2 linked regions of the Macaca fascicularis genome follow. The protein of the gene in region 1 purifies or fractionates together with the protein of each later gene. This does not show direct contact. Links are inferred from orthologs where the notes say so. Each region holds a gene or a part of one and is shown on either strand. Other genes may lie near its edges.

Evidence for each region.
Region 2: the proteins of BOD1 (region 1) and WDR5 purify together in Homo sapiens (affinity purification with mass spectrometry; 3 studies listed by BioGRID and IntAct, counting the BioPlex papers as one, with this or other methods). This does not show direct contact. The link is inferred for Macaca fascicularis from reciprocal best matches to the Homo sapiens genes BOD1 and WDR5.

What each region holds. Positions count from the first base shown.
Region 1 is NC_088380.1:180,431,397-180,434,850, forward strand, and holds part of BOD1 (biorientation of chromosomes in cell division protein 1), read right to left. Parts: intron 2,959-3,454; coding exon 2,834-2,958; intron 1-2,833. UniProt on the Homo sapiens protein: Required for proper chromosome biorientation through the detection or correction of syntelic attachments in mitotic spindles.
Region 2 is NC_088389.1:5,216,589-5,220,239, forward strand, and holds part of WDR5 (WD repeat-containing protein 5), read right to left. Parts: coding exon 3,641-3,651; intron 2,854-3,640; coding exon 2,778-2,853; intron 1,983-2,777; coding exon 1,949-1,982; intron 1,632-1,948; coding exon 1,557-1,631; intron 829-1,556; coding exon 741-828; intron 1-740.

The sequences.
Region 1 (3,454 bases):
CCAGGCAGCAACTGGGTAAATAGTCTGTCAGGGCACAGCAAACGAAAGACATGAGTAAATGTACATCATGACAAAGACGAGAAGCAGGCCCTGAACTGGGAAAGATGATTAGTGTGTAAAGTGCTTCCCGGATTCAATGGTAACTAACAGCTTATCGACAGGAAGCCTAGATGTAAATACACCACCACCAGAGCACTGAAGGGCACATTTTCAGGTAGACCAGGCATTCGACAGTATCTGCCCTTAGTGATGAGCATTGTTAAATACAGCACACTTAGCATCAGGCTATGGGTCAGTTATAAAGCAAAGCCACCTCTCCTCAGTCACAAGCCAATACCTTTCCAACTTTACCAAACCACTTCCTGAGTCGGATTCACAGGGGTCTTTACTAGATGTAAAAGCTTGATATTATGAACTAAATGCCTGTGTCCCCCAAACTTCCTATGTTGAAATCTAATCCTTAATGTGATGGCATTTGGAGGTAGGGCCTTTGGGAGGGGATTGGGTCATGAGGACAGAGCCTCCATGAATGCAATCTATGCCCTTACAAAAGGGACCCCAGGAAGTTAGCTAGCTCTCTTCACACCACACAAGAACAAGAAGTAGTAGGCAGTCTGCTGCCTGGAAGAAGGCCTTCCCCTGAACCTGACCATGCTGCCATCTTGGTCTTGGACTTGTAGCCTCCAGAATGGTGAGAAGTACATTTCCATGGTTTACAAGCCACCTAGTCTACGGCGCTTTGTTAAAGCGTCCCCAACTGACCAAAACCCCTGATCAGGGGAAACCAAGTACCAAGGGAGTGCAGCTCACTTTCCTGGAGATTCTTAAAGCTTTTGAGGAAAACATAAAATCTTGTCAGGAGCCTAACGTAGAAGATGGAATGAACAAATATTGTATAGTTAAAAGAGTTATTTGTCATAATTCAGTTCATAAGTCAGTACAGGCTAATTTCCTGTTAAACCCTCTAGGCTGTGGCACTGGGTTACAGCATCTGGGCCAGAACAGCTAGGCCAGTGAGCCAATGCTCTGAAGGCCTGCAATGTCCATCTGCGGAGAGCACCCGGGGGCAAGCAGAAAGTCTGCATTTCAAAACTCCAGTAGATTTTGCCTCAAATTCAAAATGCTAGCGAGAATTGTGGAGAAATGTCCCAGTATTAAAGCCAAGTTCATGTTTTCAGGTTAAACACATTCTAAGTCAAATCAAAAAGCAGGAAAAAAAAAATTTCACCGAGGTGGTAAAAGCTATGAAGAGAAGAAATGATTGGCGTAAAGTCAGGAATACAGCAAACTTCTGAAAGGAGGAAGGTATGTCTGGGCCTAGGCTATTCTGGGAGGGTGTGAGTTCATTTCTTGACCTGGGTGATTAAGGGATGTTCTCATTATCTGTTTTACTGTATTTCTGTGCACTTTTTGGTATTACAATTCCTACTAAAGAAATGCAAAAAGAAGTGCCACATGGATTCTTCTAGAATGACATCCATGCTCATTATGGAAATCAACAGCAATGTTAACAGCCTTCATACAATTACGGCAACTTTCCAAGTATTTCAAAATGTTCAATGTTTTGATTTACTCAAGATAGGGTAAACACAAGTGACTTCAGCTGTGAAATAGGTTTTTTGTGAGGATGAGTGATATATGTAAAGACCAGTGCCAGACATGTAATAAAGAGTTGCTCAGTAAGGGGCAGCTACTGTCCCCTTCTCTCTGAAAGAGCCTGGTGCCACCAGTCTGCTCTCTGCAGAAAGGGAAAGGCACTCGGTACTGACCCCAGAATGACAAGGCACCGGGCATCTTCTGCTATCAGGCTTCTTCCCAGCATTCAGCCATATTGGAAGTACTAGCCTGTTAGTAAAACACTTTTAAAAACGTTAAAAATCTAAAAATCACTGCAGATTCACAGAAGTTGTGAAGTGTCCAGGGAGTTCCACATGCACCCTTCACCCAGCCAGCTCTAATGTTAGCACCTTGCATAACTACAGTGCAATATCAAAACCAGGAAAATGACACTGGTCCAATCCAGACCTTATTTAGACTTCAGTTACACTTGCACTGACTTGTGTGTGTAGCTCCATGCAACTTTACGAGTTGCTGCACATAAGCACAGCACAACTCAGATACTTAACTGCACTATCGCAAGTTCCCCTCGTGCTACCACTTTCAAGTCACACTCGCCCCTCCTCCCATCCCTACCCCCAGGCAATCACTAATGTGTTCTCCCATTTCCGTAACTGTTAGCTCATGAATGTTATGACCAGATTCCATGACCCTCCTCCACTTTTGTGCCCAGTGACAGTGAAGTCACTCAGATAAGCTATCAATAGCACCTTCATTAACTAAGGTTCAGTTTGTTACTGTGAAGTACAATACTTTGTTAAGACTATGCCTTCCTGAAAGCGGCCACCATTACACTTTAGAGGTGGCAGCCCTGGTGGACTCAAAGAATTTAACTTACATTCACCTGTGAGAATAAAGATCCAGCTCCTCTTGCCCAAGATCCAAACCCTGAGATCTTGGTATAAAACTCACATATATGTTTGGACGACACTGAAACTTCGAAGAGCAGGGAACATGTCTCATAATTTGGAATGTCTTTCGATGCACCCAGCAGAGATGCACACAAGAGGCCTTCACAGGCTGCAGAAACTGGAATTTCAATTGAGTACTTTGCTTACTTTAACCTTAACTGTAATAAAGGAGCAGACTGCTGCAACTCCTAAGTGATACTTGATATAAAGTCCCATCAACCTTGACTAAACAGAGACCTCAACCTTCTTGTGCATCACACTTGCGATTACTGCCTTTTCAAAAGCTTTAAATTCTGCTTACTTACTGAACCACACTCTGCCTCAGACCATTTCGCAATTGGTTTTTGTTCATTGTAGGATTCCATTCCTGCTTGTCCAGATGTGTTGACACAAAATTATCCACTTTCTGCCTCAGGTTTTGGTAAGCTGGCTAAAATGTTAAAAAGAGGAGGCAAGGTCAGAAGTTACATGCACCAAAGTTTTGAACTTAGTCTCTCAGAACATTGCTTTTCACAGAAACGTTATCAAGCCTAAATACACTTCCATTATGCATGAAGATCACCATGCAGTGTGGCAGTCAGGAATTAATGGTTAACACAAGTGCCCACTTGATGGTGGGTGGGCACAATGCCAGGCGCTTTACTTATATTATTCCATTTACTTTTAAGTAACTCTACATGCAGCAGGCCTGACATCAACCCATAGCCTGGACCCACATTTGAGCAGCCTGCAGCCAAGCCACCAGCTGAAGCCTTCCTAGCTGCCCCGTGAACATGTGAACCGTGCTGGTTATAAGCTGCTGAGATTCAGTTTGTTATGCAGCATTACTGTGGCAAAGTTTGCTAACAGGGAAATGAAGTTGACAAAGGAATCAGCAGGCCTCAATTCCACAACTGGCCTCTTCCGAAAGGCTGAGAAAGCAAACT
Region 2 (3,651 bases), on another chromosome or scaffold:
ACATCAAATCACAGTTTACAACTTCTACATAAACCAAAGAAACCCCAGAACACCGGTGAGGACCCGGAGGAAGGCGCAGGCCCGCCGTGGAACATGAGTGCTGACCCCAGGCTGGGTGAAGCTGCTCGAGCAGAGGGAGAAGCAGCACCTCCCCCAGTTTCCACAAGGGCTTGCCCCCCCATGCTCTCATTGGCCCCATGAGACATGGAAATGCAGGGCCAGAGGGTGAGGAAGCAGTGGTGGCTGCAGAGGGCAGCCAGGACCCAGGGAGGGGCAACCCCAGGTCGCTTGGGAACCAGCACCGCTGTGGAGCCCACTAGGCCTGCATGCAGCAGGGGTCTCTCTGGGAGAGGGAACAGGTAATCGAAAGGAGCCAGAGCCTCCAGGATGGGGCAGCGATGACCTCACTGTCCCCGGCCCAGGAAACGGAGCTCGCCGTGAAGTGGGACACGCTACACCCACCTAAAGTCCCACAGCCACACACACCTTCCGGACCAGAATACCCGGCAGAACAGGAAGAAACAGGGTTCAAGACAGGAGCCCTGGGTCCGAGTGGGCAGCACAGTGACCAGCTCCATGCCTTGGGCAAGAGCTCTTAGCAGCGGCTCCTCAATGGGGCCAGCGGAGGGCTGAGGTGGGAAGGGGAAGACGACGGCACCCTACGGGCAGACCACGCTTCACCTACAGGAACTGTCCTCACATCAACAGGCAGCCGTGGCTGCGGGAGCACAGGCCCTCACCTGTGTGGCCTTGTAGTTTCTGTACAATCTCTTTCGTCTGAAGGTTCCAGATGTAAACAAGGTTATCCTCTGAGCCAGACACAATCCACTAAGTAACAACAAGCACGGAAAACAGGGCAAGGAAGAGCAGGTCAGCGCTCGTGTATGTGGAAGGGGCAGAATCTCCAGTTATGCCCCGCCCCACGCCCACCCCGCTGGTGGCTGCCTGGCTGAACTCAACCAAAAAGCCGTGCCTGCCCTCCAGCCAGGCCTGAGGCTTCCTCCCCCAGTGCGGACAGCCCCGCCTGCTCTACCCCAGCACGGGCCTCGGTCAAAGAAGCCAGGCACCTGCCTGCCCCAGGAGAGGCTTCCAGGCTGGAAGATGCTTCTCAGGTCCCCCTTTCCTGAGTCTGTGTGTCATACACATGCTGCCCGAGAGTCACCCCGGTCTAAGCAGCATCGAGACCAGTGTGGGTGGGCGGGAAAACACTCCCCTCCCTGCTGGGGCGGGTGGACAGCCTCGGAGCCAGCGCACCCACCCGGGGACACCCTGAGCCGCGGAGCTCCACCTGTGGGGTCCCAACCCCCTCGGAAGGCATCGGCCAAGCACTGCCAGCAGAGCCCGGCAACAGGCTGCCTGCCTCCATTAAGGAGCTGGACCTAGAAACAGACGGGACAAGGTGTCCCCGGTGCTTGGCGCAGCGCACTTTGGTTGAAATGGAAATTCATTGTGTGGGCACAGAAAAGCGTCTGAGTGTAAAGCAACCTGTAACAGGTGTGACCTCTCGGGAGAGTAAGCTGGGAACGCGTGAGACGCTTCAAGGTCATAAGACTCACCTTCCCGCCAGTAACAGAGAAATTAGCAAATATGCAGTATTTCTCGTTCTTGTGGCCAGTGTACGTCTTCAGGCACTGAAACAGGAGGGGACAGGCTGGTCACAGAGTCATGGATCCCCTTGATTTTGTATAATTCTACGTTCTAAGCAAGGCGTTTCACCACTGACTACACTTACTTCTGAAAAGTACAAGTACAAAACCCACACAATCGAAGATTTAACTTGCAGACTGCCACCCTACGAATACCCAGGTTTTTCAGGAATCTGCACCAAACCCGTGGAAATGATTCTCTGAGCTCCTCTCCTTTGTCATCAGCGGGGCCACTCTGTCCCCACCAGAGGCCATGACCCAGGGACGGCGCACAACGGGGGCCCGAGCCTGCGGGAGCTCACCTTGCCCTTGCTGTAGTCCCAGAGCTTCAGAGTGCTGCAAGACAGAGAGAGGCGTGAGGCGGCACGGCCGGAGGCGTCCTGTCCCCACGCCCAACTCTGCAGCCACTACGTCACGGCCACCATCAGCGCCAGGTGCAAAAGCCAGCGGGGATGCAACCCCCTTCCCCGTCAGGGTGAGGGCCCCTCAGGCTCAGAGTCCAGTGACTTGGCGTTGGGGAGCCACAGTGTGAGAGCCGCAAGTATTTGCAGTTCCAAGAGAGACTTTAACAGGAAGCTGACGGGTGTTATCGTCCCTGACTCAGGTCATCCTCAAAAGGGTGAGGAAGTCCTCTTGGTTCTGGAAACATCCAGAACAGGTTTTACCACCCAATCACACAGCCCTCAGAGGATCGGGGCCCAGACTTGGACCCACAGGGCTGAGGCCGCATGCGTGGGAAAGCTGGAGCTTAGAGAACAGTCCGGGAGGGCAGCGGCTTTGTGAGAGGTAAAACCAAGGTCCTCAGAGGTCAGAACCAGAAAGGGCCTTGGAGGACCCCGGACCACCTACTCCTTCATGCGGGATGGCTAGGCCTGCCCCGGCCAGAGTCACTCAACCAGAAAACCGACCCTAAATCCTCCTTTAGTCGGACCTGAGGTTCAGCCTCGGGAAGGGATGGGCAGGGGCCTGCCCTCTGACCTAACAGGCCACTGCCCAGAAGCCAAAGCTCCAGCAGGAGCCTGGGTCCCGTGCCAAGCCCACGACATGCTCTCCGAAGGCTCACGCTGGCGAGCAGGTGTCTCTGGCTGGGGAGGCCACACGCCCGCCCCCACGGTCCCGCGCAGCACTCACTTGTCCAGCGTGGCGGCCAGGATGTATTTGCCGTTCGGGGAGAACTTCACGAAAGACACTGGGGGGTTGTCGTCATCTGCAATAAAAACAGACGGGTGACACGGGGCGGGCGCTGACAGCTGGGCAGGGACAGGAGGTGGGACCCGCTCCCCGTCCCCCACGTGCGACATCTGAGTGAGGTCGGCCACCACCACCAGTGCCAGCACCACCACCCCTTGGTGCCCCGAAGGGTGGCCTAGCCACGCACACTAGCCGTGAGCAGCTTCTTGACACCTCAAGCCCATGGCCCCGGGGGCCCCTTGACACCAGGACTTTAGGAATACAGGCCTCCTCGGGCACCGGGCAGTGGCCATTCTCAGGAATCACCTGCCTCACAGGGGAGGGATGAGGTTGGCGAATGCCCAACTCAACGGAGGGACGACTCCACCAGCAGCAAAAAGAGCTGGGGAAGTCACCTTGGAAATTCTCCTTTTAAGAATTTATCGACGCAAGGGGCATTCGCGCCCACACAACCCATCTACTTGTTGTCACACCCACAGCTAAGGCCCAGGCCTATCAGCTGGACCCTGCAGCCCTGGGGGCAGAGTACAGCCACTTTTTCTCACACAGCTGAAAGAGTCAAGGCTCCCAGAAGCTGTCCATGTACAGGTCAGAGTTTTCAGGACGTGACAACCCCACAACCCTCACAACCGGAGGAAGGCGTTTCCCCTCGCCCGAGTGAGGAGGGGGGAATCTCAAGGAAGGTGTATCCTGGTGCAGTTCCCACCCCAGGCCCCATCAGGGACCCCCCCCCCGCCACCAACGAGCATGTGCACGCGCTGGTGTGTCCCGAGCACCGGGAAGGACGCGGCCCTTGGCATTACCACCACGGGGA